Astyanax mexicanus: one gene and its partners. Each later gene encodes a partner of the first gene's protein in a complex. Links are inferred from orthologs where the notes say so. Each region holds a gene or a part of one and is shown in the gene's direction. Other genes may lie near its edges.

What was found.
Region 2: the proteins of f2 (region 1) and si:ch211-132p1.2 are in contact, whole or in part, in a crystal structure (PDB 2PV9), measured with the Mus musculus proteins. The link is inferred for Astyanax mexicanus from reciprocal best matches to the Homo sapiens genes F2 and F2RL3. Residues at the interface, in NP_034298.1 of Mus musculus: Glu385, Leu386, Leu387, Cys388, His403, Tyr407, Trp410, Asp411, Arg428, Arg453, Glu454, Asn455, Leu456, Trp501, Gly502, Asn503, Trp508, Thr510, Gln516, Arg538, Ile539, Asp559, Ala560, Cys561, Glu562, Gly563, Asp564, Val585, Ser586, Trp587; in NP_032001.2 of Mus musculus: Asp54, Lys55, Pro56, Asn57, Pro58, Arg59, Gly60, Tyr61, Pro62, Gly63, Lys64, Cys66, Asn68, Asp69, Ser70.
Region 3: the proteins of f2 (region 1) and serpine2 are in contact, whole or in part, in a crystal structure (PDB 4DY7), measured with the Homo sapiens proteins. The link is inferred for Astyanax mexicanus from reciprocal best matches to the Homo sapiens genes F2 and SERPINE2. Residues at the interface, in NP_000497.1 of Homo sapiens: His406, Tyr410, Pro412, Trp413, Trp455, Arg456, Glu457, Asn458, Leu459, Glu509, Thr510, Ile542, Asp562, Ala563, Cys564, Glu565, Trp590, Gly591, Glu592, Gly593, Cys594; in NP_006207.1 of Homo sapiens: Val225, Arg288, Ser355, Ala356, Thr358, Thr359, Ala360, Leu362, Ile363, Ala364, Arg365, Ser366, Ser367.
Region 4: the proteins of f2 (region 1) and serpind1 are in contact, whole or in part, in a crystal structure (PDB 1JMO), measured with the Homo sapiens proteins. The link is inferred for Astyanax mexicanus from reciprocal best matches to the Homo sapiens genes F2 and SERPIND1. Residues at the interface, in NP_000497.1 of Homo sapiens: Lys384, Ser385, Pro386, Gln387, Leu389, Leu390, Cys391, His406, Cys407, Tyr410, Pro412, Trp413, Asp414, Lys415, Leu423, Arg425, Ser430, Thr432, Arg433, Tyr434, Lys440, Ile441, Ser442, Met443, Asn458, Leu459, Lys470, Trp511, Ala513, Asn514; in NP_000176.2 of Homo sapiens: Glu75, Asp76, Asp77, Asp78, Tyr79, Leu80, Leu82, Ile85, Phe86, Asp89, Asp91, Val305, Glu306, Met307, Thr308, His309, Gln327, Asp343, His361, Lys362, Arg388, Thr457, Val458, Gly459, Phe460, Met461, Pro462, Leu463, Ser464, Thr465.

Annotation. Positions count from the first base shown.
Region 1 is NC_064430.1:14,447,532-14,455,439, forward strand, and holds the start of f2 (prothrombin), read left to right. Parts: upstream 1-4,905; 5' UTR 4,906-5,003; coding exon 5,004-5,079; intron 5,080-5,195; coding exon 5,196-5,353; intron 5,354-5,664; coding exon 5,665-5,689; intron 5,690-6,254; coding exon 6,255-6,326; intron 6,327-7,056; coding exon 7,057-7,162; intron 7,163-7,371; coding exon 7,372-7,502; intron 7,503-7,908. Other genes in the region: znf408 (zinc finger protein 408), read left to right, coding at 1-86, 1,319-3,138. UniProt on the Homo sapiens protein: Thrombin, which cleaves bonds after Arg and Lys, converts fibrinogen to fibrin and activates factors V, VII, VIII, XIII, and, in complex with thrombomodulin, protein C. Functions in blood homeostasis, inflammation and wound healing.
Region 2 is NC_064417.1:33,611,854-33,619,364, forward strand, and holds the start of si:ch211-132p1.2 (proteinase-activated receptor 4), read left to right. Parts: upstream 1-4,506; 5' UTR 4,507-4,686; coding exon 4,687-4,810; intron 4,811-7,511. UniProt on the Homo sapiens protein: Receptor for activated thrombin or trypsin coupled to G proteins that stimulate phosphoinositide hydrolysis. May play a role in platelets activation.
Region 3 is NC_064425.1:38,394,522-38,402,419, reverse strand, and holds the start of serpine2 (glia-derived nexin), read left to right. Parts: upstream 1-4,880; 5' UTR 4,881-5,054; intron 5,055-7,898. UniProt on the Homo sapiens protein: Serine protease inhibitor with activity toward thrombin, trypsin, and urokinase. Promotes neurite extension by inhibiting thrombin. Binds heparin.
Region 4 is NC_064419.1:52,596-60,387, reverse strand, and holds the start of serpind1 (heparin cofactor 2), read left to right. Parts: upstream 1-4,784; 5' UTR 4,785-4,862; intron 4,863-6,620; 5' UTR 6,621-6,622; coding exon 6,623-7,556; intron 7,557-7,792. UniProt on the Homo sapiens protein: Thrombin inhibitor activated by the glycosaminoglycans, heparin or dermatan sulfate. In the presence of the latter, HC-II becomes the predominant thrombin inhibitor in place of antithrombin III (AT-III).

The DNA of each region.
Region 1 (7,908 bases):
CAAAGAGAGCACACCATGTGGGCTGACTGAGGATAAAACCACATGCCCTGGCCCAATGGAACAAGACTCAAAAAGGGAATGTGAAGGTTCGTGCACAGTAGCTTTTAGAGGGACATGGCTTTTGGGTTTAATTTAACTTTGACTGTGTAAGCAAGGCAGCCATTAAGAAAATGCATTAAATTGGCCCATGAAATTGTGTGTTTAATTTAAAGACCATATTATGCCTCAGGCCTCACACACCTCTACATTTTGTTTTATACTGTGTTATATTGAAAGTATTTTTCATAGCAAATTATACAGAGTGCCACTCCTTAGTCACAGTGCCTGAGGACATTATTCACCGCATACTAGTGTGTGTTTTGTATTATTTTAATATATATATTTTTTTACCACAATTGGAGATTGCCTACCTGATGGATGCACGAAAGGATGAATTGCAATGAGAGCAGCCTCACTGAAAAATGAGTATGGCCTTGCTACATCACCAAGTAACTTGCTACATCATCCCAGCATCACACATAGGACATCAAAGATATTTTAAACAAGAAGGAAAAGCTTATAAAGGAATTATCTGTACCTACAGATATAAGGCCAATTTATACTTCTTGCAGCTACACTGCAGGCAACGCGTTAACTCAACGCAGAAGTATAAACCAGCCATTACATTATAATGGGATCAAACTAATAATAGAACTGCTAAATAAAAAATGGCCTACTTCCATCTACATTGTTCGTTTGCTTCAATTTCATTTTAAAAACTTTGCAGACATGTCCACAAGTTGCCAGCCAAAAAAAGTGGACATGTACCATAAGGCCGTGCCATAGTTGCCGTTTGACTAATTAGAATTAGTTTTGCTGTGTTGCTAAATCAGCACCAGGAAATGTACTGATTTCAGAGTTAGAAAAGAGCATGCTAGAAAGTTAGCTATGGATCTTGTAGCACAAGGTGACAGACAAATGTGGGGCCAGTCAGCAGATTTCATCATTAGGCCTTTCCAGTGGACGGTTGTTTTGCCCCAAGTATGGTAAGCTAGACACAGTAAAATAAAAAAAAGTTAAGCTCAGCCCAGTTTGTAGGAGTTCTATATGAAAAAGCCACTGGAATAGTTAACCTTCTCCATGCATAGACTTTTTGTCTATGTAGTGGAAAAGAGGCCTAGGCAAACCTTTCAGAACTGCTGTTAAGAGACGGAGAAAACATTTAAAAGAACAGTTCATAGAATTCTCCATGAATCGTAAAGAAACGGATCTTTTGTTCCCCTCCTAAGTTCAGACTGACGTTTTAACATGTATCACATATGCTTCGTGTATTTCACAGAATCAGTGGTGAAGGACCCTACTGACAACTCAGAAGAGGCTCAGAAAACAACACATCCTAACATTCAGAGGAAGAGGCCACTAATCTCAAGTGTAAAAAATAATCCTGTGCGCTCCTCTCAAACCGTGGAAACTGGTAATCTGGGACAGACTGCTTTGGATGACAAAACAGACAATGACCAGCAAGAAGCAGAGGATAAATCTAGTCCTGGGGTGCTGTGCAGCATCCGAGAATCCAATTCTCAGGAACAGCTTAAAGGAGCTGAGAGAGCCAGCCCTCGCCTGGCAGCTAAACCTCGCAAAGTCCACTCGCTAAGCAGGTGCATGCACAGGCGACAGCAAGCAAAGCTGACAAATGCGGCTTCTGCCTGTGTTGATAAAAAGATGCTGACTACAGAAACTAGCACTGGAAGTGGATCAGCTCTGGGAGAAAAAATCCTCACTGAAAATTCTAACTCTGATGAGAAGCAATCTGGTCTGGTATGGATAGAAAAGGAGGGTTCACCAGAACTCTTACGGTTCAGCCCACGAGAGCGGAACTACAAGTGTGACCTGTGTGCTAAAAGTTTCTTTCAGCTGTGTCACCTAAAGAAGCACAAGTTCACGCACTCCGAGCTGAAGCCTTATGCTTGCACAGAGTGCGACAAAACCTACAGCTCCCAGGAGAGTTACCGTGCACATTTGCTTATGCACCGTGGACAACGGCCTTTTAAGTGCCAGCAGTGTGACAGAAGCTACGGGCTCAAACGTGACCTCAAGGAGCACCAGGTGCTTCATACGGGTGAAAAACCCTTTGTTTGCGATGTTTGTGGCAAGGCTTTCGCACGCCGGCCTTCGCTGCGAATCCACAAGGAAATCCACAGAGCCAAAGAAGCGGACTACCAAGCACCAAAGATCAAATGCACTAAGTGTGGCAAAGAGCTGGCAAACCGGAGCTCCCTGAGGAATCACATGCGATTGCACACAGGCGAGCGGCCGTACGTCTGCTCCGACTGCGGCAAGAGCTTCCGCCAGCGCGGCAATCTGCAAAGCCACCTGCGCATTCACACTGGAGAAAAGCCATACAGGTGCAAGCACTGCGACCAAACCTTCTCGCAGGTGCCGGAGCTGCGTCGGCACCTCATTTCCCACACAGGTGAGGCATACCTGTGCCCAGTGTGTGGCAAGGCACTGCGCGACCCTCACACCTTGCGAGCCCATGAGCGCCTACACACTGGCGAAAGGCCTTACAAGTGCGAGCAGTGCGGAAAAGGGTACACGTTGGCCACTAAGCTGCGCAGGCATATGAAGTCCCACCTGGATGAGAAGCCACACAAGTGCGAGACATGTGGAACCAGATTTACGCTTATGCAGAGTCTACAGCGCCACCTACAGTCCCACCAGAAAATAACTAAGAAAGGACATGCAGCGCCAGCCAGGGGTAGACCTAAAAAGATGACTCCTAAAAAGAGAGGTGGACAGTCAGGTCATTGTCAAGGCAAGAAGAAAAAAGAAGAAGAGGAAGGTGTGGTTTATGTGCAAGCCCTAGCAGAGAACTGCAGAGAAGGTGCTGAAGTTTTTGAAGAAGGGCCAGAACAAATTGAGCTTAGTGAGGACATTGTAGAAATTGTTGTTTCAAATGGCAGCAACAAGTGTATCATGGTTCAGGAACTGGAAGCTAATGCTAAGTGCATTGTTTTACGGGAGGATGAAGAGAATAAGAAATGCATAATTGTACAAGAAGAGATTAATAATAATAGTACCCTGGTCATTATGCAGGACCATGATGATCCTAACTCAGTGGCAGAAACTGTTGAAATCGATTCAGCCACCCAAGACTGAACATGTTAAGCTCATTGTGACTATTAGTGTGTCATTTGATTTGAAGGTTATTTTGCAGTGGTAACATCTGCGTTAGAGACATCAGTAAATATTGACTTATCTGCCCACTGGACCTTGTCATCACTGTTTGTTCCAGATCTGAACAGGCACACTGCTGGTAACGAATATGTCAGGAACATGCTGATTATTGGTGATACTGTTATCTTATTATGAGTCAAATCATGTTTAAATTATATTTTTTAAGAAAAAATAACAATGATGAAATATTAAATTAGAGCTGGGGTGAAATATCATGATTAATATATTATGTCACAGTATTTAAAGTAGAGCTGGAGCCAAGAGATTTTGTCATATAGGTATACATTTTCTTATTGTATTGACAATATGCTTTTTTAAAGCATATCGAGGATATCATCAGTGGTTAAAGAGCATTGAGAAAAATGTGCATTACATTACAGAGAAACAACCCAGTTTGATTGGATGTAAAACTCTGTGTATTGTGAAAGTCTAGTATCATGGTATAATATTTTTTACCAAATAATCAGCGCTTGATTATTTACACCACGGGTGGTGGAATTTATACTGTTAATATTGATATCAGAATTATATCGCATTATAGAAATGAAGAAATTTAATGTGATATCAAGTAATTTAAAGACATTTTCAAAACATGCAACATTTATCACATCATTTGTCCCTATGTTTTGTCACAAAGACAAAAAGCATCAACATTGTCAGATTCTTGTATGTTAAATAACATTAAACAAATTGCAAATTCTTTCCATCTCTTCCTTGTGTGTAGTCCTTGTTTTACTGTAATGATGCTGCTGAAATCTAAATTTCCCTGAGGAAATCTTCCCAAGTGGATCCATAAAGATCTATCTATCAAGTACTGTTTCATGCATAGTAAAGTAATGTTTTTTTTTTTTGCTGGACAACATTTAAAACTAGTACAGTTGGGTCATTGTTCTTTGTCCTCTTCTTTTAAAAAGCCCAAAAAAAGTCAGACGATAAGAAATGCAATGAAATATTTTCATATTGCCCAACTCTATATTAACGTTTTATTTGAATTCCTATCTGAATTAACTGCTTATTGATGCAGCTTGAAACAGTCTAAGTACCACAGATCTTCAAGATGTGGTGGAGTCAGTAAAGAACATAGGCAGTGGATGATTTTAGAGTTGGATGGAGTTTTAGGGAGTCATGGAATTTTTGAAAACATTTCATTTGTCAAAGCTTAAATTGCTGCACCACCCACTGCACTGTCCACTGTGAATAATAATTCTTCATATGACATAATCCAGGTACACATATGACACTTTGGATTGAGAAATATTATGTCCCATCCATCTGGCACACACTATCAGGCCTCGCTCCAACACCAGTTATTCACATTGGCCATATTGCCATGAGCTCGATGGCCACTGCTCACTCTCACAAGATAACACCTCACAGCGTATACAGATGTGTGCATTCCCAAGCTGTCCACTGATATAATACTTTACATTTAATTTACATACTGCTATTCTATGATTTCATACAAATATAAGTCCATTTTGTTTAGGAAAATGACTGGTGACTGGTTTAGTATTATTATTTCATTCATATCATATTATGGGTTGATAATGAATGTTCCTAAGTGTCCTTAGATATTTCTAGAACATCAGGGCTGAATCATGAATCAGTGATCAGAGTGATATGAGCTTGCACACAATCTCTGTTTTCTGTTCTCTTTGAACTCCACTGGTTCAATATTAACTCGAGGGCAGCAGTGGAAGGTTTTTGGGGGCTTGCTAGCAGCTCTGTGGCTTTGTCTCCAGTGATGTTCCAGGTCTTTTCAGGATTCCAGTAGTCCCTGTAAAAGAATGGGAGCAGTACCAGCACCGATCCTTGTCACACTTCTTCTCAGCCAAGTGCTCCAGCTTACACTGTGCTATGATGGTGAGAAACCCATGTTAATACTTTTGGTATCAAATATATTGTATGTAAAATGGTGTGTCTATAGAGTTAATAGGTTTGTGGAGGTAGACGGTTAATCTTGTGTACGTTTTTGTCAGTTTTTATCGATAGTAAGAGGGCTTCTCAGGTTATCCGAGTAAGGAGAGCAAACACACTCTTAGAGGAGCTGAAGCAGGGAAATCTGGAGCGAGAGTGTGTGGAGGAGATCTGTAGCAATGAGGAGGCTCGAGAGGTGTTTGAGATAAGTGACAAAACGGTAAGGACTGCTGAATTCTGCTACATGATGTGACGTATGTAATCCTGTTTAAATTAAATACTTCTCAACATAACATTTGTAAGGTCACTTTCCCAGACAGGGATTTAATTAGTCTTAGACTAAGCCTTTCAAAAATATGTAGTCTACAACTTAATCCTCAAGCTTAATCCTTGTGGGAAAATTGCCTGTGTGTGGACACCATTATTGTTTACTGTCTTGTTTATTGCATTCATCGACATACCATTCCAGAAAGTGGTAGATTAATTTTGTTTTATTTAAACATTTTGTAAAATGGTTTCTCTTTCTTTTAGGTTCAGTTTTGGGAGAAATACTTAGGTAAGGCATTACACCACAAACTTCCCAGTAGGCAGCAAAGTCAGCAGTGACCACATTTTGAAATGTAAATATACATTATTGAACCAGGAGCAAAGTGCAGTGTTCCCCAGTGTTTTTTTTTCCTTCTGAGTAATTACCAAATCAAAGTCCTAAACTGGACTTTATTTAATCTAAGGGTTTCTAATGTCAGTCAAGAACAATACAAAAACGCAGTGTACTATTAGGCTTCCTGAGCATTTGTTAGTTGCAGTATTCCTTTAATGTGTGTGTATATTAGTTCCAGGCCAGTGATAATAAGCTATTGAAAAATGACACAGAAATGACAGAAATGTTATGTAAGGAACACTTTATATAAATAATGTTTATATTTCATAAAATTGAATGAAAATAAAGAAGTTTAATCTCATTACCATCTTTTTTATGGTTTTGTTAGCTTTAACTGTTTCTGGAACAATGTGATGGCAATAGTGAAAGTTCAGGAAACTCATTAAAACAGGGCAAGCATAAACATACCGTGATTATCTCAACACTGTTTAGATCTATTTTGTACTGCTTTCTTCCACAGCTTGTGATGGCAACACTTTGAAGAGGACTCCAGACAATATTTCGAAAGTAAGAACGTGTGTGAATAAAAAAGGTAAGGGCAACATTTCATAAAAAAAAATGCACCCATTGTATACAGATGGTTGTTATTCCCAGTTTGACCAGCCTGTTTTATAAGATTTAGAGATGGATTCAGCGTACAGCACATAATCTATGTTAAATTAATATATAAATAAATTAATTTCCTGTGGAGAATGAAAAGAGTATATTAGTATAAATAACTGTGTCAAAATATTAGTTCACACTTACATGTATGTAAAAAATGTAAACTCTGCATTCTGTAGTTTGTTTGTGGTGAGGACATGATTCGTCCTTGATTCAAACAACTACCAATGTTGCTGCAATTAAACTGTACAGATATACACTAGTCCAGAACACGCGAACCACGTTCCAGACTATTTACATAAACTATTTTCTAGATGGTTTTGACTTTTAGACCACAAATAGGAGGTCAAGGAAAGCTATATTTATCCATTCAACAACAGAAAAAGATCATAAACGATAATACAACAAAAATACAAGAATCAAAGGGAAATATATCTGTTAAGCTTATACTGCTGTATGAAACGTGCACACAATGGGAAGATGAGTCTGGGGAGATGCAGTCTGTGTATCAAATACATCAACATTGATTTGGAATCTGGTGTGAAGATGCTCTGAGATAAAGAAACATTGATGCTCTAAAATCTATAAAGGCAACTTCTACTACTTCAGTTAGTAGAGCCGTGTATTCATATATGTGTTGATCATTGTGTGCTGTACAGATCACTGCTATCTCAACACTGGTGAGCACTACAGTGGTGATGTTAACCTCACTATATCTGGAAAGACTTGTCAATACTGGAAAAGCAACTTCCCCCACAGAATCATGTATGTATAATTATTTCTCTAGACCTCTTGAGCTTCACAGCTGTAGTTGTCATTGATAAAACATGGAAATAGTATTCAAGGCATAAAGACTTGTATGTTTGAAAAACAGATTATATTTTCATTTCAAATTAAAGGTCAAAATGATTTGAGAAAACTGGAAGTGTGAAACAGTTTTTGATCCATTTTAATGCATTGTTTTTCCATTCCAGTGAGATTAATCAAACACAGCTGAAACTTCCTGAGAACTTCTGCAGGAATCCAGACAAGAGCCCTACTGGACCCTGGTGCTTCACCAGCGACCCCACTGTCAGGAGGGAGAAATGTGCAGTGGCAAAATGTGGTACTGACCTTAAAGCATGCTTCACTCAAAGCACTGAACACCCCAAACATAGATAATATAGCAAACTGTGAAGGGCTTCATCTGTTTCTTATATTAAGCTCAGTCTTGAGGCATTAAGTATATCAGTAGTTAGTCTTAGTCTAGAGTTTTCATTGAGAATTTTATTTAATAAATAATAAAACATTTAGTAATATTATATTTAAGTTCCTTTATTGGTTTTATAGCAGCCAGTGATGTTTTGAAACTTAATATTATGCTGCTTTCCATTTACCGTTTACTGTATTGGGATGTATAGCTAAAAATGACCTTACACCCTGGTTGACTGGGTTCCAATTAAACCTTTAGATAATTTCTATTTCAAAGACTTTGGTGTAGAAGTTAAACAGTACTGTGTGTACAATTGATA
Region 2 (7,511 bases), on another chromosome or scaffold:
TAGCTTTGATTGCAGCACGCATTCACTTTGGCATTGTTTCGATAAGCTTCTGCAATGTCACAAGATTTATTTCAATCCAGTGTTGCATTCATTTTTCACCAAGATCTTGCAGCATTGATAAAGGTAGAGTCTGACCACTGCACAAAGCCTTCTCCAACACATCCCAAATATTCTCAATGGGGTTAAGATCTGGACTCTGTGGTGAACAATCCATGTGTAAAAATAATGATCTCATGCTTCCTGAACCACCCTTTCACAATTCCAGCCCGATGAATCTTGAAATTATCATCTTGGAATATCACATTTATTTCACAGTCCAGCAGAAGTATTGTGGCATGTGAAAAGAAAAGATCCACACCAGGCAGCATAGTTATTTTAAGGAAGCTTTTTATTAGGTTTACTGCACACTAGAAATGAGGAAGCTTTGTAAAATAATGTCTGAAATTCCTAAACACTTCACATGATTATTTGATCATTTTTTACCCTTTAATTAAACTTGAAACTTCGATTGCACATCATTTGTTTCATTTCATATCCAGTGTGGTGGCATGCAGAGCATGTACAGATACATTCACATACATGCATATATTCTACGAACACATCGAATTTGTCACGTTATTATTTTCCTTCTCGAAATGACAGGGTGGTCTCAGTCAGGTCGTGTACTAACTCTGCAGTAAAGGAAAGAGAAGCCTGACATCTAGTGGTCATTGTGTGCAATTAATCCTATAGATTTTACAGAAAACCAACAGAATGGTGGTCTCATCCACTGCACCACACCAACCACGTGTTTATTCGCTGTGAAAATACGTTCTTGTACAGTAAACTGTCAAGCGTTTTTTTATTTTTCTTCAGAACGATACAATGGAAAAAAAACTGCAGTTGCAACACAAATTAATATCTGGACACGTTTTGTAAAGAAACAAAAATACTCAACAAAAATATATTCAGATATCATTTATAATCAGATGATAACATTTAACATTTCTATTGACTAATTTCAGTACCTAACGTGTTTTAATAGAAGACAGGGGCTATTTAAGGCACCAAGATTCCATAGTTGACATCATGATGGTGAGGGCTTAATTATTATTTTTTTAATTCCAAAAACAACAAATCGAATAATAAAACAGCAAAACATGCTAAACAAGACTACAGCTACATTTCCATTCTTGTTAACAAAATACAAATACTAAATATAAATCACAGGCACAGCAAAGAATAATGGGAGCACGTATGTGACTGTATGGGTAAGTGTTTTTTGCTTGTGAACATTTATGAAAAAAGATTTTCTATAATTTGATTTATAAAAAAGGTTTTGTAATGTGTGTGTGTGACAGAATGTGTTTAATAATGCACCTCATAACAAGGTTCACCGCTTAAAGTTGCTCAAAGTGTAGACAAACATTTTTGGATAATGAACAAAACTCAAACACACCCAACGTGTCCATGATCCATGGTTTAATGTTTTTACAGATATCACACACATTGAATAAAGATGGAAGCTATTTGATGGATCAAGTTTCCACAGTTTATATCATTATGGTGAGGGTTAATTTATTTTTTTTGTAATTCCTAAAACAACAAACCAAACAAAATAAAATGCATATTAAACTACAAACTAAGACAGAATATCCTGCTCAACAAAACTAAAGCAAAAAATAATTTCTTAGTAAATATAAATCACAGGCATAACTCTAGATTTTTAAGGATTAAATAAATGGGGACACAAATAATTCAGCAAAGAGCCGTTAGAGGGCGCTGGCCACTTAATATTTCCAGTTCTGGCCTGTTGCTGTTGAAGTTCTTTGTTCTTTGAAATGGTGATGGCTTTGCTTTGTGTGTAGTGGTGTTTTTACCCATTTTTCCTCCTGCCAAAGAATGCATATCATCACCGTCACTCAAAAAGTGTGAATCTCCATTTTGGTGACCTCAGACAATGTGTTGCATACACAAAAATATTGGTTAAAATCACTTTTATAATCACTTTTAAAATCTGTACAATGTAACTCTGGTAAATCATCAATGTCTTGTAGGGCCTGCATTAGGATTAATAGCCAAATAATTTATCTACATTACATCACTGCAACATCTCACTGTTTGTAACAGAGGATAAATAATTGGCAATTGGACATTTTAATTTAGATAATTTGTGGTGTGTTATAAAAGGTTTAAGAACTATTTATCTAGATATAGATAACATACAATCAAATAAAGAAATAGGACACCTATTGAAATCATTTGTCTTTTTAAACATATTAAATATTTTGACTTTTATCTTTAGGTAAACAATACTGACAGAATATAATTGAAGGCATAATTAGGCATAATTTTTATAATATAATAAATAGAACCATACTTTTCTTGTGAGGAACAACTTATGACAAGTCCACTTTTATAACTACTTAAAATGCTGAAGAAAGTGTAAATGAGAATCAGCTATTATTATATATTAATAATTAACTATTATTATATATGTGTTCTATATTTTCTTGTCTATTTTCATACACAAGGCGCACCGGATTATATAAGGCACATTTTAAGCGACAATAGTAAGGAATACGGGTGTTGCCATGTTTTCCTTCTAATTCAGCTGGTCTTGCCGATGGGGGCACCTAAGTAAACAAAAATGTAATTCTTAAGAAATAAAAACAATTCTTTCTCAGTTAAACGAGCACTGGATATTAATCTCACAGATTTCTCTCCTGAAAACAGTTTATTTGGGTGAGTAAATTTACTTATAGTAAGCTTAGATTTACAGTATTTTAGCCTAGTTAGTAGCAGCACTAGCCACGATTAGCAGTAGTGCTTAGCGCTGGTAAATGCCTCCCGACAGTGCCACACTGAGGGACCCTGTGTGTTCCGCATTGCTTGGTTTAACACGGTAAACACGCAAGCTACAGTCCGATACACTCACCTCTGAAGAACAAAAGAACTAGCGCTGTGATTAGCGCCTAATGCTAATTCTGCTCCAGCTGCTGGTGAAACTTCACTGAAACTCCTGTTTAACACTATCCTTCAGTGGAGTGGCTTTACTGCTCCTTATAACATGACTGGTATAATTCATACATAAAGCACACCGGATTATAAGGCGCACTGATAATTGTTGCCAAAATGAAAGGGTATTAAGTGCGCTTCATAGTAGGAAAAATACGATAATTCATTACGTAGTATAGTATAGTCCAAATGTATTAATAACGGTGTAACACAGTGTCAGAGAACACATGATTAGCACTTCTAGATATGTTTTTTAATGTGTGGAAAAGCTGATCTGACCAGTGGAAATGACCACAGCTTCACACTTCCATTACCCTGACCATCAACACCCCCGCCAGGGGTGCAGTCTCACTTCCTCATAGACGACTAGCAATAAATAACCCTAATGAGCTACTTCCTTCCACCAACACTCTCTTACTGTGCTAACAACTGCCGTATTTACCTTTTCCTGATTCACACAGAACAGCACAGTTATGTGTGTGTATGTGTGTGTGCGGAATTTTTTGCCATAATTTATTAGGTTACAGAGGTGCACATTCTGAATATTTCTAGTACAAGTAAGTTGGTGTTCTAAACTATTTTTGATTAAAGTGCATACGCACACATCAACTTATATATTGAAATGTAATGATGATATATTAGAGAAATTACAGTATTATAATAAGAGGATAGTTTATTGAGGACAACTGTACAAATGAAAAGAGCCTATAGTACACTGTTGGAGCCTGTAGCCTGGATACAAGATGAGATACAGTTGGCCATGAAGATATACAGGTTCCATATGACATCCTGCAGCACATTTATAAACAGATGTTGCAGCTGGGCCTGTAGATCCTACTCTACACTCATAGGTTGCTGGAGCTGCCATCCCAGCTCCTCCCATAAATCCTTGATTGGTGATAAATCTGTAGAGGGGACAGAACAAGGACATTCCTGGGAAACATTTGCTGTGTTTGGATAAGCAGTTGAAAACCCTGTCATGAGAGGCAACACATGTGGCCACAGGATGTTCTGCACATATCATTGAGCTGTTAGTGTCCCTAAGGTTTCTTATCACTCTGTTTATCATTTATATATATATATATATATATATATGTTTCAGTAAAATTACCATTGTTGTTTTATTCTATAAATTACGGACATTTCTCCCAAATTCCAAATAAAAATATTGTAATTTATATATTTGTAAATATATTTGTAAATATTGCATTTATTTGCAGAAAATAGCATGTTCTCTTCCATCAGTCTTACACACTGCTTTTGGATAATTTTATGCCACTCCTGGTGCAATAATTCAAGCAGGTCAGCTTGGTTTGATGGCTTGTGATCATCCATCTTCCTTTTGATTATATTCCAGAGGTTTTCAATTTGGTATTAAGTGGTCTAATATTTTTTCCATGGCTGTATATATACTATACAAAAATGGCTAATATAGTGCCATTAAACTAGATAAAGACACACACACACACACTGCATGTTTCATACCCTGAAAGGAAGCAGGGCGGAGAGAAGGCATGCGAAAGTGCACACACACATACACACACACACATTGAAACTCCAGAAGCAGACCTGAAAGCAGAATAAGAGGACTGGAAATCAAACAGGTTTCACGTTTCTCAGCGGACCTTCTGAAAATTGCACTGGACTTCAGCCTTCAGGAACCCTGACCCGTTCTCTAGAACTTCAGAGATGCTCTCTCTCAGCAGAACTGCTCTATCTGTTCGTCCTAATCTCCTGGTTCTTCTCCTGGTTCTCCTCTCGCTCTGCACGGCCTCATCTCAGGCTTCAAGAAACTTCACCGGTGGACCTGCCCGTAAGTGTCTTCAGCTCATCCCAGAATAGGACATGGACTAGCTTAATGCATTGGACTGAAAATGTACACTGTTCTAAGGAACCTTTAAAGGTTCTTCAGTTTGAAAGTGTATAGGAGGAAACCCTTAATCCAGCTAACCTATCTTTGCATTAGAGGTTTTTTTAAAAGTTACAATTAAAGTTAATAAAGTGTCAATCTAGTTTTATGAATGTTCTTAGAACGTATATTTTGTATTTATTTATTTTATTATTTTATAATTATTTTATAATAACATTACTGCAACATCAGTTTTGTATTTAGTTGCTAAATGTTCTTTTAATGTTCTGTTCTGGAAAGGTATTAAACCTTTAAAAAAATGTTTTAGAACAATATTTTTTCCTGATGGTTGCTTAAAGCAATTCAAAGGGTTCCTCCTTCACATTTTCAAATTGAAGAACCTCTAAATGTTCCTCAAGGATCAAACAATTTTAACAACTTAAAGGAACCTTTAAAAAATGTTTTTAGAAGAATAATTTTAACAGTGTACAGTACACAGAACCAACAGTTCTGTACACTACGTGAGCAGCCATTTAAAGGGTTAAAGAGGCTTCACATGAAGTTATGTAAGGTGTAAATGGTTTGGAAATATTTTGCTGTAGGACATTGTTAATAATGTTACATAACATCAACATAAGTGCTTTGATAACTGACATAACCATATTTCTGGAGATGAATAGGCAGTCCAATATAAACTGTTAGAAAACTGTAAAAACTTTATTAACTATGACAAATGAAAAAATAAATAGTATTATTCTAATTTTCTATGTTTAAACTGAGCCTCAAATGATTAAAAAGTAAGTTTTAAAGTGTTTGATTTTTCAAGTTTAATCTCTAAGTTAAAATACAGCTTGACCTCAGGGGTAATCTTTGGCAGTGTAGTTTTGCAGTGTTTATTCATAGGGGTCGAGAAGCATGATTCAGCTCTCCTGGTTTTGATCCACTGTCACTGCGTTGTTGCAGTTTGGAGCAACACTTTGAACTTACTTGATTTAGGCAGATTTTACCTTATATGCACACTGAACAGATAATTCAGCCTCCCAAACCCACACTCACCAATACTGTGTAGTCTTTCCCATAAGGACTTTCCTCCCCAGTGTATTCAGTTTTATTTAATGGAATGTTTGTGGGGCTTTGAGTAGTCCAGCGGGCTAAGCGCTACCACTATGATCAGGAGATCTCATGATCAGTTCGATGATCAGTTCGAATCCTGTTCATGTAGCTTACCATCAGCTACCGGAGTCCTGAGAGAGCACAGTTGGCCTTGCTCTCTCTGGGTGGGTAGATGGCGCTCTCTCCCCACATCACTACAAAAGGGTGACGTGGATCAGCACAAGGCATCTGTGAGCTGATGTATCGGAACCGAGTTGCTCAGTTTTTCTTCCGAATGTGCTGTGAGGTGGGAGAGGCGGTGGCTGGCTTTACATGTATCAGAGGAGGCATGTGCTAGTCTTCACTCTCCTGTGAAATGTGTTGGGGCATCACTAGTGAAAGGGGGAGTCTTAGTGGGTGGGTTGAGTAATTGGCTGTGTAAATTGAGGAGAAAATGGGATAAAAAAATATATGTAATGTTTAACTGCCTGGCCACAGCTTCAATGTTTTCTCACAGTTCCTGCCGATTTTACAGTAGGGGTGGAAAACACAGATAGTGTGACATGTCTGCATCACAAGACCTAAATTAATTAATTACACTTATTCAAAAAGGTGTGAAATGCTATTGGATGCTCTATCAACACTCCACCCCATCACAAAATCTGTAGGAACTGTGTTCGAGAATATTGTGGAATAAGTTGAATGGGATGGATATGAGAGAAATCCATTAGGAACCTCTACAACTCTGTGCTGAGACACCTGGCATGTTGCTGCATTAAACATGCGCGTTACACACTACTTCTGTATGTGTAGCTCAATAAATATTACCCATATCAGTTTAAATCAGTTTTATTTAATTTTTGCTCTTAGTAACTTTTCTCTTCCTTCTGAACAGCATTAAAATCCCTCACTTCCTACTGGGTGCAGCTATTTTAAAGAGTTTAAAGGGTTAAAGCTCATGTGTCTTCATGACTCACTGGTACAGGCAGTAAGTTGCTTAATCATGTGGGAAAGTAAGCACTGCCAGTTTGCTGAATGAAGACAGACAGTGTGAGTATAAACTGGGGTAAGGGATTAGACCTGGTTGGTGAACTGAGTTGAAGCAGGAAATCTGCAGGCACCAGGAATGTGGGGAGTGCCTCTGGAAAAATTGGGAACACATGTGTCTTTCAGAACAGAGTCAACTCATGTGAAAACACGTGAAAAAACACAGCCAAAAGGAAGATCAATTTACCACTGAAGAAAGTGTATATTAAATAATACTCAACTAATACTCAACTGCATATAAGACCCTTCAATACAAGTCAAGATCATGATCACCATTGCACCTGGCAGCGTCGCTGTCAAAACATACAAAAAATACAACTTTCCATTGACCACACCAAAAATAATAACCATGGAACATTTTTAAAAAGTATGTTACAATGTAAAAAATATATATTTATTATAATAAAAAAGAAGGTTACAAATTTGATCTAAACATACTAAGTAAGCATTTATGTTATCTTAGAACTACTTACCTATGATTATTACACCCTGTGTCTAACACAGTTCCTGTTTGCAGTCATTTGTT
Region 3 (7,898 bases), on another chromosome or scaffold:
TGCACATGCTCAGTCCCCAGGCGCAAGTATAACCAAGATGGCAGCTTTTACTTCAGCCATCTTTTGGCTTTAAACCTTTGCAGTGGAAATGAACAGAAACACTTTCTTTACTTGTAGAAAACTATAGTTCACATTATGCACAATTTTAATTTGTTTTGAATTTGATCTTTTTATAATTCACATTTTTTTTATTTAAAAAAATATTTATTTTCACTTGAAACATTGTCAGTTTACTTTGTACTATTTAAGTTCACTGGATTTTGGGCCATTTCATATTATATCCATGTAGAAAAGAGACAGATGAATATACTTTTTTCCATTTTTTCCATTATCTTTTTTTTTTATTTTTTACAATATATATATATATATTTTTTTTTACTATTTCCATTTTTTAGAATATACATTCTTCTATTTTTACAATATACATGTATTTGATTTTTTTAACAATATATGTTTTATACAATATGCACTTTTTTATTACAATATACAAAAAAACACCTAATTTTTGTACCTTTTAAGTTCACTGGATGTTTTAACATTTCAGGTCATATCCTGAAACTCCTGAATATCCGAAACTTTTAATAATCTAAAGACCTAAACGGAAAATTTGAACTATGTAATGTACAATTCAGTTTAAATGTATTTATCAAACGCTTTATGTGTGCAGGCTTTAAATAATTTAGCAAATATTTTATGAACAAATTGTGCATAAATGCACCCCAGGTATGATTAATATTTAAAATTATTATGTAATTTATACTACTATCCAAAACTACTTCAATAAAGGGTGATTTAAAAAAAGAAGCAATATCTGACCCAAATGTTAACCCCCACAAATATACACAAAGTTACCACAGGGAAAAGGGACAGTATTTTATTTAATTATTGGAGTAAGAAGGTCATGGTTTTGTTGTTTTATAAGGTGGTAATGTGTCATCACGCTTTTGGAACAGCACTGTACTCTTTCTGTTTGCAGTTGCAGAGAATCAGAGAAAACCGCTGTTATACTTCAGTTCATGCTGTTTTCACTCTGTTGCTGTTTTGGTGTGTCTAAAAACCTATATTTAGAGAATGGTTTTATGCGTAATTAGAATTTCGTCATTCTGGCTGGGTGTGCTTTTCCTGTTTACAAAAGACAAAGGTTTTTCCTACAGTACAGTCCGGATGACAGCTGACTTTCATTAACACGGGCCTGAACTAAAATGGGAATGCCCAGCTATTACACACTCTGCCGTATAAATAAGTGATATCAAATATTTAAGAATGTTTTATTATTTAATGTTATTTCATGTTAATATTTGACTTTTGTGTGATGTAGACAGTCTGAATTCAATAAATTGCAAGTTTTATCTGCCCAACTTTTTTCATTTATTATTAATATACAGTACTTGTCAAAGCTTTGGGCACACCTTCTCATTCAGTGTTTTTCTTTATTTTATTTGTATTGTATTTATTTTCTACATAGTGGATTAATATTAAAGACATGAAAACAATTACGGGACAAATAAGGAATTACATATTAAACAGTAAAAAAAAGTGTTTGTCCTCCACAATCCCCTGATCTAAACTGATCAACTGAGATGGGTGAATTGTATTGTTCAGCACCTCCAGGAACTCCTTCAAGATGCTGGGAAAAATATTCCAGGTGATTCTCCCTCATGAAGACACTGAGAATAAAATACCAAGAGTGCAGATCTGTCCTCAAAAATAAATGTGCTACTTAGAAGAACCTGCAGTATAAAACATATTCTGGTTTGTTTAACACATTGTCTAATTCCACAAGTGTTTCTGTATAGCTTTAATGTCTTTAATATTAAATTGATACTGTAAATCTTCTTGTAAATGTATCATCTTCTGTGCTTTTGTTCCACTTTAAATTTTGTCACTATATTTAGACTATATTTTCCACCTTAAATGTTGATATATTCCCACAATCACCAGTGCCACCATAATGCTGTTGTCATATTCACATAATCAGATTATTTCCACTTTATATGCTGCCACTAGTATAACACAATCACACTTATTCCATCTTAAATGCTACCGCTATATTAAGACAATCACACCAACACCAGTTTATGTAATGTTTTTGTTCCACCTTAAACAGCAAAGCTGTTACAGGTGCATGGACTAAACCTTTAAGGTGATAAGAAGCTGAAAGCTGGAGAATAAACAGCTGTGCTGGCTTCTTTTTCTTCTATTCCACCATAAGTGCTGCTGCTGTTACATTAAATAGTGTTTGACAACTGCATATTAGAATTTTCTGTTCCACCTTAAACAGTAAAGGTGTGAAGGAGCTGTTCTATTTCTGTTATAGTTATTCCACCTTAAATTGTACACCTGCCTGGTTAAACGTGTCAATATTGGCATGTATTTCGAACATGAATCTCTGGCAGGTTAAAGTAGGAACTATGTGAGGAGAAGTGTAGAGGCAGTACATGACTGTAATTATTATACCTCTCCTATATCATCTTAATTACATTTAACTATATCTACTATATATAGCTTCAGAAATTCTCACATTTTGGCTCACAAAGTTCAGGTAGGAGGTTCAGAATCTTGCTTAGGGCCCTACGGAAGTGCAGACTGGCACTGGAGGAGCCTTAGGTTAACTTCTCTGGGCTTGGAGGCATCTGGGATGGACCATCACACAGTGGAATTGAACACCATGGTCGGATAAATCAGCATTTTAGAAGAAATTCATCCAGAGAAAAAACATCCAGACTGTTATCAGCAACATGTGGAACATGTGCAACATGGTCTGTCATGCTATGGGGTGGGCCAGTACATTTCTGTGATGCAGCATTAATGCTGATAAAAACACACAGAGATATATTAAGGCTCATGATGTTTGGAAATGCCTAATATATTAAATTCAATGCTAAACAGGGTCATTTTTATTAAGAGTTAGAAATGCAATGATTGGTGCTGCAGTGTAGTATTTCAAAGTGTTTGACAGGGAAGCACCTCACTCTGCTCAGTTTAATGGAATTATTTCAAGGCACTGTAAATGTTTATATACAATGTGAATGCAAGGCCTCTACTTAACACTGGCTGCACTGCAGTTTGTCTAGTAAGTGTGATGTTTTGACAGTAAAAGTCCAGTTTGTGTAAGTTGCACTGCAGTGTAGTTACTTCATGTAATGCAGATGGTTTGTTCCAGTCAATGCTCTTTATTAATTACTTCATTCCTATGTTTAACTCTGCCTTCTTTTGATATAGCAAAATATTATTTAAAATGTTTGAAAATTATTTTTGGGGCATCGAAGGAAAGATGAGAAAATGTTCTTGTGTCATGAAAATACTGTGCTAGGATAATGGCCTGTGCTGAGAGTGTGATTTAAGCTCATTTATTATGCCTAATCAAATAAATGTGATCCTTTTAAAGGCTCTCCAAACTTAGTGCTCATCCCCAATTGGTAGGTGCTGAGATTTTTTATGTTTTACTTCTTAAAGGTTTACTTTTTTTTACTTCTTCAAAAAAATGCACAAGAAGCTTATTAAAAACCACTGTTTACTTCCTGTGCTGCTAGCTTTAAGCTCCATGCGCCACCATCATTGTACTGATATGATAGACATATATACATAAATTCTGCATAGCCTGCCTCCAGTGTTGTGCGTGAACGAGTTCAAAAGAAAGCGTTCATTGAACACGCTCATTTTTTTGTGAACATTGAACTGAACGCAACACATTTTTTAATAAAGAACTTGAACGTGAATTAGTTCACATTATGTGTCATGAACGGCAGACATCCCTGTAAATGAACGTTAGCTAGAGAGCAGAGCGAGAGAGAGAGAGAGAGAGAGAGAGAGAGAGGGCAAAAGAGAGAGAGAGAGAGAGAGAGAGAGAGAGAGAAAGACAGAGAGCGGAGCGCGAGGGCGAGAGAGAGAAAGAGCACGGGGCGAGAGCGAGAGAGAGAGAAAGAGAGAGAGAGACCAACGGCGAGAGCGTGCGGCGCGAGGGCAAGAGAGAGAGAGATACAGAGAGAGAGAGAGAGAGAGAGAGAGAGACCAATGACTGTAGTGAGAGAAAGCGCTGCAATTTAAAAAAAAATGGCTAGTGGAAGTGATGGCACGGAGACAGTCACCGATTCCTTATGAACATTTTCATCACCTGGTAAGAAACCCACATTGCAGTATCATGAGCAAATGTCTACAATGAGCAGTTTCAAAGAACATATAGTGATTCCTAGCTTGTAGTGTGAAAAAAGTTTTTTTTTTTTATATCTCACGAAAAAAGTAAAATGAACTAAACTTTGAACTAGTTCAGAATTAAAATTGTGAACTTTGAATGTGAACTGTTCACTTTGAGCATGTATGAAATGAACTTGAACTAGTTTAGAAAAGCTGTGAACTGGAACAACACTGCCTGCCTCCTGGTGCCGGATGCTACGATATGCGGAATCTATGTATATATGTCTGTCATTATCAGTACAATGATGGCGGCGCACGAAGCTGAAAGCTAGCGGCACAGGATGTAAACAGTGGTGTTTAATAAGCTTCTTGTGCACTTTTTAAGTTATTAATGCCTTGTCAGGGCTCTAGACAGGTGGTGTTAAGTTACTTTGAGCTTGGATAACTATGTAAAAAGCGATTTATCAGGGCAAATTATGCCCTAATATGGGCAAAAAGTACAAAATTACTGGATCCCAGAAAGCTGTGGGAGAGCGATGGTGAGCTACTCGATAAAGGTAAATACTTTTTATCATGTTTTGCTTCACCAAAAGTCCTTTTACACAGAAGTGTAAGTGTAAAATCTTACCGCAGTGTGTGGAGTATCCGCGCGCTCAGATTCAGCTACTGTGGGCGGAGCCGCAGCTCTCGGGGGGCGGGGCCATTCGGTCAGACCCCGACCAAAATAAACCGGGAGGCGGCTCCAAAATAACGCGCAGTCTGGAGAGCAGATCCAGCGCCTTATTACACACTCATACACTCACACACACCCTCTCACACACACCACATATATACTCACACACACACCAACTCACTAACTCACACTTACACGCCCTCTGGGAGCAGCAGTGTACCGTCTGCCTGTTTTCCTCCAGAAGAAGGTAGGAGCGCTTCAGTGGAACAGTTTTTTATACTGAATTATTTGCTTGTTTAACAGTGTAAATGCTCTAAACTGTTTTTACGTGGCTCGTGGATGCTTCTTGTGGTGCGAGTTGCCTGGAGGGTTAAACAGAGTTAACTGTAGGGTATAAGCAGTTGTTCTGGTGGTGTATTGTACTGTAAGGGCAGACTGTTTATGTCTGTTTATGAGTGTTATAGAGAACACTGTGTTTACTAAAGTGGGATTTTATACACACACTTGATATAAAATATAAGAACTTTAAGGGTCTCTATAACCTGTTTACTGTAATTATGAGTATTGCTACTACTACTACACTGCTGAAATAAACAGCATGGCTAGTTAAAGCTGGTTGAGCCAGATGATCAAATCAAATTACATTATGTACATATTTATATAGCTCTTTTTACAACTGATGTTGTCACAAAGCAGCTTTACAGAAATGTGGTAGTAAGGAAAATCAGAAAAAAGAGCAACAGAGGCAAGGAAAAACTCCCTCAGAGCTGGAGGAGGAAGAAACCTTGGCAGGAACCAAGACTTACATGGGCCTTGTACTATCACATATTATTAAGGGTAATTTATATAAGGAGGGACCCATCCTGTTCTGGTCAGACAGCTTATAAATGAATGTTAAAAGAAGTCAATAAACATCCAGGGGGTGAAGTTGTTAGAAAATTCCTAATTAGAGTTCATATGAACTTTGATGTAATCATTAGTGAAGAAGAGTGAGCAACTAGTTTGAGGCAGGTGACATAACCTGGACGGTGGGCACTTCCAGAGACTTCCATCTATCTGGCCATACAGGTGACATGAGAATCTGAGGGTCGAACATTCATTAGTATGTCAATGAACCACTGAATCTGCAGCCTTTGAGGAAGAGGAAACATTAATCTCCAAAAGCTAAACTAATCAGGTATGATTTCAGTCTAGATTTGAGATTAAAGATTGAGACTGTGTCTGAGTCCAGAACATTTTTGGGAAGGTTATTACAGAGCTGAGGGACTTTATAAGAGAATTTTTTTCTCATGCAGAACTCCTCTAAAATTTTAAAACTACTAGTAAACCAGCACCATGTCTGAGTTATTGTGCGAGTTTAGGAATTACCAGCTTAGCTCTTGACCAGTATAGGGTATGTTGGATTTGAACCTGGTCAAGCTAAAACTAGCTAGATAACCAGTTTGAAGAAGCATAGATAAGCATGACCAACATCAAATTCAGCATACCCTCTGCTGGTCAAGTACTGGTAACTATCTAGATTATCAGTATAGGGTAGAGATGGGACCAATATGCAGTGTTGCAATATATTATATCGCCTGCAGTGAAGAATGTTGGCTGTTAAATTCTGTGACACTAATAAATCAATAATTCCTGGTATACGATTATTAAGGAGTATTTTATCCTCTTCAGTAACACAGATGCTGCAAAGTATCGCAGAGAATTGTCTTGTAATATTATATCGAATATCACAGAATCACAGTATTACGATAATATTGTATCATGAGATGCCATGAGATTCCCACCTCTAGTATAAGATGGAAATACAGACTCAGCATATTAAACAAATGCATGACCTGGAAAATGTTTTTCTGGTATATGTATACATACATTGTAATCATAATGTGAAAATGTGCCATAGTCGCATTGCGGGACATGCAATATAAAGTAAGATACATTTTATTAGATGCAGAGTTTTTTTGCTGCTTGATGCAAAAGGAGAAATTGCTCTCTCAATATTGATACATACATGATACAGCTACCAAAAGGTATGTATTATATCTGCCCAAAATAATAATTTGTACTCCATTCTTTTATAAACAAAGTGCATTTTTAACATTTTGACATTTTAGATTATTGACTCCTGTCAATCCTGTACATTTTTGGTAAAAAATATTGTATTTATTTTAATATAGCAATATATATCACAAAATAGAAGACTTTTGCAATGTCAGTTTTTTGCAATACCCTGCAATATTGCTTCTTTAACTATAAATAAATGTCTCTCTCTGTGTCTCTCTTACACACACACACACACACAGCTGAATAAATTCCACAGCTGCACGGCAGTGTGACAAGAAACCCAATAGCCAAAAAAGGGGGTAATGTCCAGAAAAGTGTGTATGTGTGTGTGTGTGTGTGTGTGTATGTGTGTGTGTCATTGGATTTCTTTTGTAGGTAGTTGTTGGGTGGCTGCTGTAGACCAAAGTCTGAAAAGAAAGCGGTGGGGAGAGAGAAAGTGCTTCCAGGAATAATAATGAGGAGAGATAGAGAGAGAGAAAGAAAGATAGAGAGAGAATGTGTGTGTGTGTGTGTGTGTGTGAGAGAAAGAGAGACAGTATAAAAGTAAGAGGTAGAGAGATATTCAGAGAGACAGAAAGAAAATGTGAAAGAGAATAAAAGAGAGAGAGAAAGTTTGTGTCTGTGAGAGTGTGTGAAAGAGAGAGAATGTGAGAGAGTGTAAGAAAGAGACAGAATAAGAGTGAAAGTGAGAGAGATTCAGAGCGAGAGAGAAAGAGTGAAACAGAATAAGAAAGAGAGAGTAAGCACAGAAGAAAGGAGAGAAGAAAAGTAGACTCACATCGTGGATGAGGGAAGTGTCCTTCTCAGAGGGGGCGGGGCTTTATTGCTCTTTATTAGACGGGTTTATTGCTCTCAGACAGAGGCTAATTGAATAGCTGTGAATAGACTGTGACCTCAGCAGGGAAAGAGAGTGTGTGTTTGGGAGAGATTGGACGGCGCTGTGGGTTTGGGAGGGTTTAGACTGTGTTAGTCAGAGGACACAGGGTTGCAGGGATTGTTTAGTTAAAGGGAAAACCTGTGGCTGAGGTTT
Region 4 (7,792 bases), on another chromosome or scaffold:
CGGTGATGTCATCATACAGGGAGGGGGAGAGGATTCCAGTGGTAAACTGTGCAGCTCTGATGAACTTCACGCCCAAGACGGTTAGAGAGCAGAATTCAGAACCCACCCATTTAAAATAATAAAAACTTCTGAATACTTCCTCTTTTTCTGTTCTATTTCCAAGCACTAAAAAGTTGTATCTGTGAAGATCACAGTTAAACCCTGGAATATTTATTTAATAAGTTTTAGTGGCAGAAGTAACGTATGTGGTGCGAGTCTCACCCCGAGAGTCATGCTCTGCCGATTGTAGCCGGCAAAGTTAAGGATGCTCTCAGTGGCCATCGCCAAACCAGTGTGCTGAGAAAGACCAGAAACCCAGTTCTGATGCTTATTTAGGTACTCCTGAGATAAAGAGAGAGAGAGAGAGAGAGAGAGAGAGAGAGAGAGAGAGAGAGAGAGAGAGAGAATGTAAAAATGAGTGAGAACTAAATGTATTGCCTTTTTATATCCGAGTATAAACAGTAAGAAAGTGTTTTAGGTTCAGGTGCCGCAGTGTGAACAGGCAAACTGTACCTGTAGGTGAGATTTGGTAACAGACGACGCCCACTTCATCGCTTCTTTCAAAATTTCACCACAGCGTGCAGCAAAGTCCTTTACTATACTCTAATAAAACACGACAGCAGAAAAAAATATTATTTTTATATAACTGTTACATTCTTATACATGCATACAGTATAGATATACAGTACTGTGATGAAAATCTAATCTAGCCATGAGATCCAGATTAAATCAGCACAACATTGGGGATATAGATCAGAACTTTGACTGGATCATTCTAACACATGAATATTCTCTGATTTAAATAATTCCACTGTAGCTCTGGCTGTATGTTTAGGGTCATCGTCTTGCTGGAAGGTCTCAAGTCTTTTACAACAGCTTTTCTTCTTCCAGGATTGTTCTGTGATTATCTCCGTCCTCAGGGTGAGTAAATTAAACTGAGGGAAGGACAGTTGTCAGGTTTGGTTGCTAAAACCCACACAGCTCAAATAAGAAGATTCTGAATCTCTGCATAAGTTTAATGCAAAAAGTCTTTGAATTCATGCGTTGTTCTGATTTGTCTTTTATTCTATTTTTTTCTCACCTCTCGAGCTTCATGTGTGTCCGGTACTGTAATTCTGTGAGGAGTATCAGGAATGTCATAATAAGGCTGGTCCTTGTGAATATCCTGTTCAACAAAGAACAAGAACCAACATTTAAAAAATACTTAAATACAATATTTAAAATATAAACATGTTTTCACAGTTTTAGTTTCAGAGACCCTCACCGCACTCAGAGACAGAGACAGTGTCTGCAAAATGTCCAACATAGTCTTCAGAACTCGTCCGCTCCACAGCAGGTGAGGAAACCTAAATAAATAAATAAAATAAATAAAGTATGAAACAAAGCCTGTTTAATAAATTCACTGATTCAGATTTTTTTATGAGGAGACGCACGTTTCAGCCAATCCTGAAAGATACTTGTCAGCCACTCGTCGAATTCTCTTGTGGGTGTGGTTAAAGTTGACCAGTAAGAACTGTGCGTGGCGTTCCAGCTCCTCCTCATGCTCTTTAGTTTTTGGCTATAAAACAAAAAGACACTTTACTAAAATATATAATAATAAAATACAACCTCCTGCAGATGCTAATACAGTTAGGCCCATAAATTAAAAATACATTTTGTAATTAAAGTTCAGACTTTCAGGAGTTTTTAGGAACTACAACCATTTTTCTATAAAAAAAATCATTTCAGGAGTTCAAAAGTAATTGTACAACTAATTTCAGAAGCTGTTTTATGGGCTTCCTGGTCCATTCCCTAATTAATCCATCATCAGTTAAGAGTTTATTTCAGGTGTGTTATTTTTATTTGGAAGCTGTTGCTGTAAACCGACAACATGCAGTTAAAGACGCACCAATGCAAGAGAAACAGATTATTAAACTGATAAAAGAAGAATTAAAAAATAACATGATCTCAGCAAAATGACTTTATTACTCTGCCATATTAAAATTAACCTGTGGTTAATACCAGTAAGAAAAACATATTCCAGGTAATTAGCATTTTTATATTAATTCATAATTCAATCAAATCATATTTATTTATATACTTTTTGTATACTGATGATGTCACAAAGCAGCTTTACTGAACAAAGAATCCGAGAAAACACTAAATATATAATAAAAAACCTCCAGTGAGGGACGGATAACCTGAGCTCACCTTTTCTGCCATCATCTGGAGAAACACCTCAAACACTTTGTCGCCAACACAGATCACACACTGCATCATCCCTACAGTCCAGGAGAATCGCAGAGAAACACAGAGATCAAATACAGTGTTTTTATATTAAAGATTAAAGATAAAACTGCTCTCTTTTCTTCTGACCTGACTTGTCCTTCTGTATGGCCTTGTCCTCAAAATATCTGAACATCACCTGGAACCTGTCCGCATCGTTCGAATGCAGCATCCTGAAGCAGAAAGTTCAGAAAAATTATCCAAGTTGTGGGAACAATTAGTAGTTGATCAATTAAAACCAGAAATCTATTATATGAGTTTTATCATTTAATTAGTCAGATTTTGCTTCTTCTGTTTATTTGTTATATGATACATTTAACTGAAATCGCTGATCCAAACAACCAATGATTTATAAGGAAAATCATGAAAATGATCAGGAGTTCCCAAACATTTCATACCACTGTAAATATTATGGGATGCCCTGTGACCCCTGACTCTAATAATCAGGTGATTTACATGTGAGAAACTCTACAGTAGTGTAGTACCTCATGTACTCCAGTCTGTAGACGGACAGCAGGTAGGTGCACATGGCGAAGTCCAGTTTGTTAATGAGAGCCGCAGCTTCCGGCGCCGGATCCAACAGATTAATTATGGTGCTGCGCAGATCGTTCAGCTCCGCCTACAGAAAAGCCATTCAAAAACAGATACTGAAATTGTAATAAACCAGAAACTGGTTTACTTAAGGGGTTTAGATACAACACCCATATATTTAAGGATTAACACATTTTAACTTGAGGCTTCAGTGGTACAGTAAAAATAATGTTTTTATACATAAAGAAAAAAAATCATTTTAACAGGTAAATCATGTTTTTGGAACTTTTTTTAAGGATTTGGAATTTACACTTTAATCTAACAAATACTTCATCAGTATTGACTGACAATCTTGACTGATAAAAAAACTGTAAATGAGAAAAAACTTTTCTAGCAGCACCTGAAAAAAGTATTAAAAAAAGATAATTTATAGAGTTATGACGAGATCGCGTACTGCGAAATTAAATCAGCACATTATTCTCATCAGGTGTAAAATGAGTCTAATGAGACCCACACACCAAAACACAACACAGAGATGCAGCCATGACCGATAGGGGTTGCCAGTTTAAAACAGAACCCTCACTGGGGGGATTCTAACAAGGGCTGAAAAGACTGATGGGTTTATATGATATATAATTCAGAATCTAATACAACCTGCAGTTGGTGAATTTTAATCATATATTTTAAATGAAAAAATCTCGTCTCATTCTCATGAACCCAACGTATTATTTTGTCTCGTCTTGTGAGCTGAGTGTCTCGTCACACCTCTAGTTATTCACCATTTTTTATCTTATGGAGAATTACACTTTCTATTGCTTTATTTCTTTGCTACAGTGTGGATCTATCAAAACCTGACTTTTAAATAATAAGTGATTTTGGAAAAACTTTTACAGGGAAATTGATGCATAAGCTCATATTACGGGTAAATTTAGCCCCTGATGAAGTTCAGGGCACCTGAGTCACAGTGTCGTTCTTCAGGGCGGAGTTGTACTGAAGCTCGGAGCGTAGCGGCTCTCCGCTGGGGAACGTGAGCAGCGGCGACTTCGTAGCAATTTCACAAACCCCCTCATACCACTCCTCAGGCCACAGTCCTACATTACACAAATTATTCCATAAATTCATAAATTCTCATTCATATATAAAACAATATATAATAATAATATATATATATAAACTAAATAACTGCAGTCTGGAGAGTATAGTGTTCTGATCTTCTTACCGGAACCTTCTACAGCGAAGCCCATGACCACCGAGTAAAGCCAAAAATCCCTGAACAGCTTCTGAAGGCGGGGCTTAGCCTCTTTAATGGGGGGCAACCGCCGGGTCAACTGTAAAAAAAAAACACACAGACACATATCATACATCTATTTCTCACAATACATATATTAATCAAGCAAAACATTATGACCACCGGCTTCTTTCTCCACCAGTTATCCATTTTTCTGCTCCAGATAGGAAACTTGGTTGTCAGGTGTTGGTGTGTGTGTATCATGGTGGTGGTGTAAAAAACACACACACACACACACAATAACACCTCATACACCATGCTTATCACTGCAGTGCTGAGAATAACTACATACCACCCAAATAATAATAACATTAATGATAATAATTAAAATAAATAAATAATAATAAAAGCTGTATCTCTGTAGTGGTTTTCTATTCTGTAAATTCTGAGTTTTAAAGAAAAAAAATAAATATACAGAGAAACACAAAAACAACAACAGTCTGGAGTTATTATACAACTACAGAGTGAAATATATGATATATAAGTGGATAATGCAAGTTATGCTTGGATAAATGTTATTCTTGATTGGTGTCGGTTTATGCTAAATGGTTAAAAATGTGATTTATCAGCTGTGTGCAGTGAAGGAGTTAAAGCAGGGATGGTGGGGATAAAGCTATGGGTGCTGCTACTCTTTGAACTGGACAGTGTTTGATCAATGAAAGCCAACGTCAAAGTCCAAAAGTAGGATTTGGTCACAAACAAACGGAGTACACAGACAGATTGATCAGAGAGACAGCAGGTAAGTGGGAGAGGGATTTTTTTGTTGCTGTGATATTTTGTCTTATTTCCATTGTTTTACACAGTTTATTTAAAATATAAACGCAAATTATAACTGCCTTATTAAAAAAACTTTACATTCACTCTACAATTGTGTTCATAAGTTTACATACCCTGGCAGAATTAGTGATTTTTGCTCATTTCTCAGAGAATAGAAATAATAATAATACATAAACTTTTATGAAGTGGGAGTTTTGGCATGCTAACACACACAGGTTGACACACATGGGTTAAAATGACGGCTAATGGTAACTTTAGCCACGGAGAAAGCATAAGAATTATAGCATCTGCAGAAGAATATTTTATATTCTTATAATATATATATATATTATAAGAATATATATATATATATATACATATAAAGCAGGAAAATGATATAGTATTAGGAATGTTAATCAGCAGTGTTTAAACTCTAAATACTTAATGAAGTGGAAAATGTGGGATGGTGTTGAAACCAAGTCAGGCAGATCAACAAAACGTTTAGTCACAGCTGCCAGGAAAATAATTCAGGATGCAAAAAACCCAGATAACAAATAAATCAGCTAACATACAGGACTCTCTGAGAAAGAGCTCTGTTTCAGCGTGACCAATAGGAAACATGGGCCGCAGGGTCGAGTCGCCGGAAGAAAGCCATTACTACACCAATTCCAGCTCGCTTACAATAAACTCACCTGGAACTGAGCCTCAACATTTCAAACCAACCATAAACATTACAGAGGAGCCAAAAGTCCTGTTCAGGGCAGTTTTAAGACATTTGGGGGCCCCAAGCAAAATGGATCCCACCACATCAAATTCTTCATAAAATGTATATTTATATTTATTACACAGACTTACTACTTGTAACTTAACATATTAGATATGCATTCTGAATTCCCATACGCATGACGCTGCACGACCACATAATGAATACCGGCGTCTGAATGGGAATCGCGTTTAACACAGACGAGACGTGAGAAGCAGGACTACGTGATCCGTAGTGGTCAGTAGTGATGCCCTGTGTTTAAGCCCGTAAGGGAAAAGGCCTCGCGGACGGAAGAAGCGGTGGATGAACCGAATAAGAGAAGATATACGACACGCCAGCTTCGCCCCTGAAGACACTTTGGATCGAACCAAATGCGTCAGGCATCCAAACACAGACCCCTTTTCTCCGGCTGCTTTGTTCATCATTCTAACATACTCCCCCCCCCCCCCCCCGTGAAACCAGCAGTGAAATACAGATCTATAAAGGTATTTGTTAGCGTTGCTGGAGACGCATGAGCACGGCTGAGCTCGTGGCATTGCACCGCTGTCGTAAAAAATTAAATAACATTATAATAAATAGCGTCGGATAACGTTGAAGTGTAGTTCAAACAGAAAACACCATAACCACCATCTTTACTGAAATGTTATATTGTTGTTCGACCAATGGTGAAGTTAAATGTGCTGTGTTTCGAGTTCAGACAGAGCGCAGCTACAAATATGAATTCAAATCATAATCATTCGTCCCTACTCTATAACATGGAGGTGGATCATTAATGTTTTGCGGATGTCTGCGCTACAGAGGCACCTCTTACCATGAATAAATTAATATTTTCGGTATTATCATTCAAAGTCTCTGACAAATAGCCAGAAAATAACTTATTCTGGAAAAGGTAGGTGAACTTATGAGCACAACTGTGTGTGATGCAAAAATCTCAGTAACTGTCCTGTTATAAGTCTATTGTTTTCTGCATTTCCTCAGGGATGTGGGTTCTCTCAGTCGTTGCGCTAGGCTTTCTCCTAGCCACTCCAGCTCTAGGCGGGGTGAAGGACCTCAGTTCACACTTCAGCACTCAGGAGACGGAGAAAGATGGCAACAAGCCTGTGGATCCCCGAGGGTTTTCACAAGGAGGTGAAGACCTGAACATTGAGTCTATTCCTCTGGACTTCCATCGGGAGAACACGGTCACTAATGACCTGACCCTGGAGGGCTTGGAGGAGGAGGACTACATTGATTTTGATAAGATCCTGGCAGGAGGTGACGATGATTACACCGAAGGTGACGCCATAGATGAGATCTCCACTCCAGCACCAGGCCTTGATCTCATGTCTGAACCGTCAGACCCCAAAGTACGAAGGGCACGACTCCTGCGCCTCTTCCACAGTCGGACGAGGCTACAGCGCATCAACGTGGTCAATTCCCACTTCGGGTTCCGCCTCTACCGGAGTATCCGCAACCAAATGAACCAGACAGATAACATCCTGCTGGCCCCTGCTGGAATCTCCATCGCTATGGGAATGATGGCTTTAGGTACAGGTCCATCCACACATGAGCAGCTCTATCACGCACTGGGCTTCAACGAATTTGTTAATGCGAGCAGCCACTACGATAACTCCACCGTGCACAAACTCTTCCGAAAACTCACACATCGCCTCTTCAGGAGAAACTTCGGATACACCCTGCGCTCTGTAAATGACCTTTATGTGAAGAAGAACGTTAAGACCAAGGACGGCTTCCGCAGCGAGGCGAAAGCGTACTACTTCGCTGAGCCTCAATCGGTGGACTTCACAGACCCCAAGTTCCTTACGAAGGCAAACCAGCGCATTCAGAAGATTACCAAAGGGTTAATAAAGGAGCCACTGAAGAGTGTTGATCCCAACATGGTGGTAATGCTTCTAAACTACCTCTACTTTAAAGGTAAATCAAATAAAAAAATCAACTGGTTTAATTGACAGCCCCAATGAAAAAAGTCTAAAAACAACTGTAGGTGATCTGCCAAACTGAGAACCCTCTGAGTGCGTCACAATATTCTAATAATAATGTTTGAATAAGAGTCCCAGGCAGAACTTTAATGGAAGAATAGAGATTTGGGGAGGTTAACGCCAGCTGTTGGTGTAAAATAACAACCTTCTTAAACTTAATGGAACCTGTAG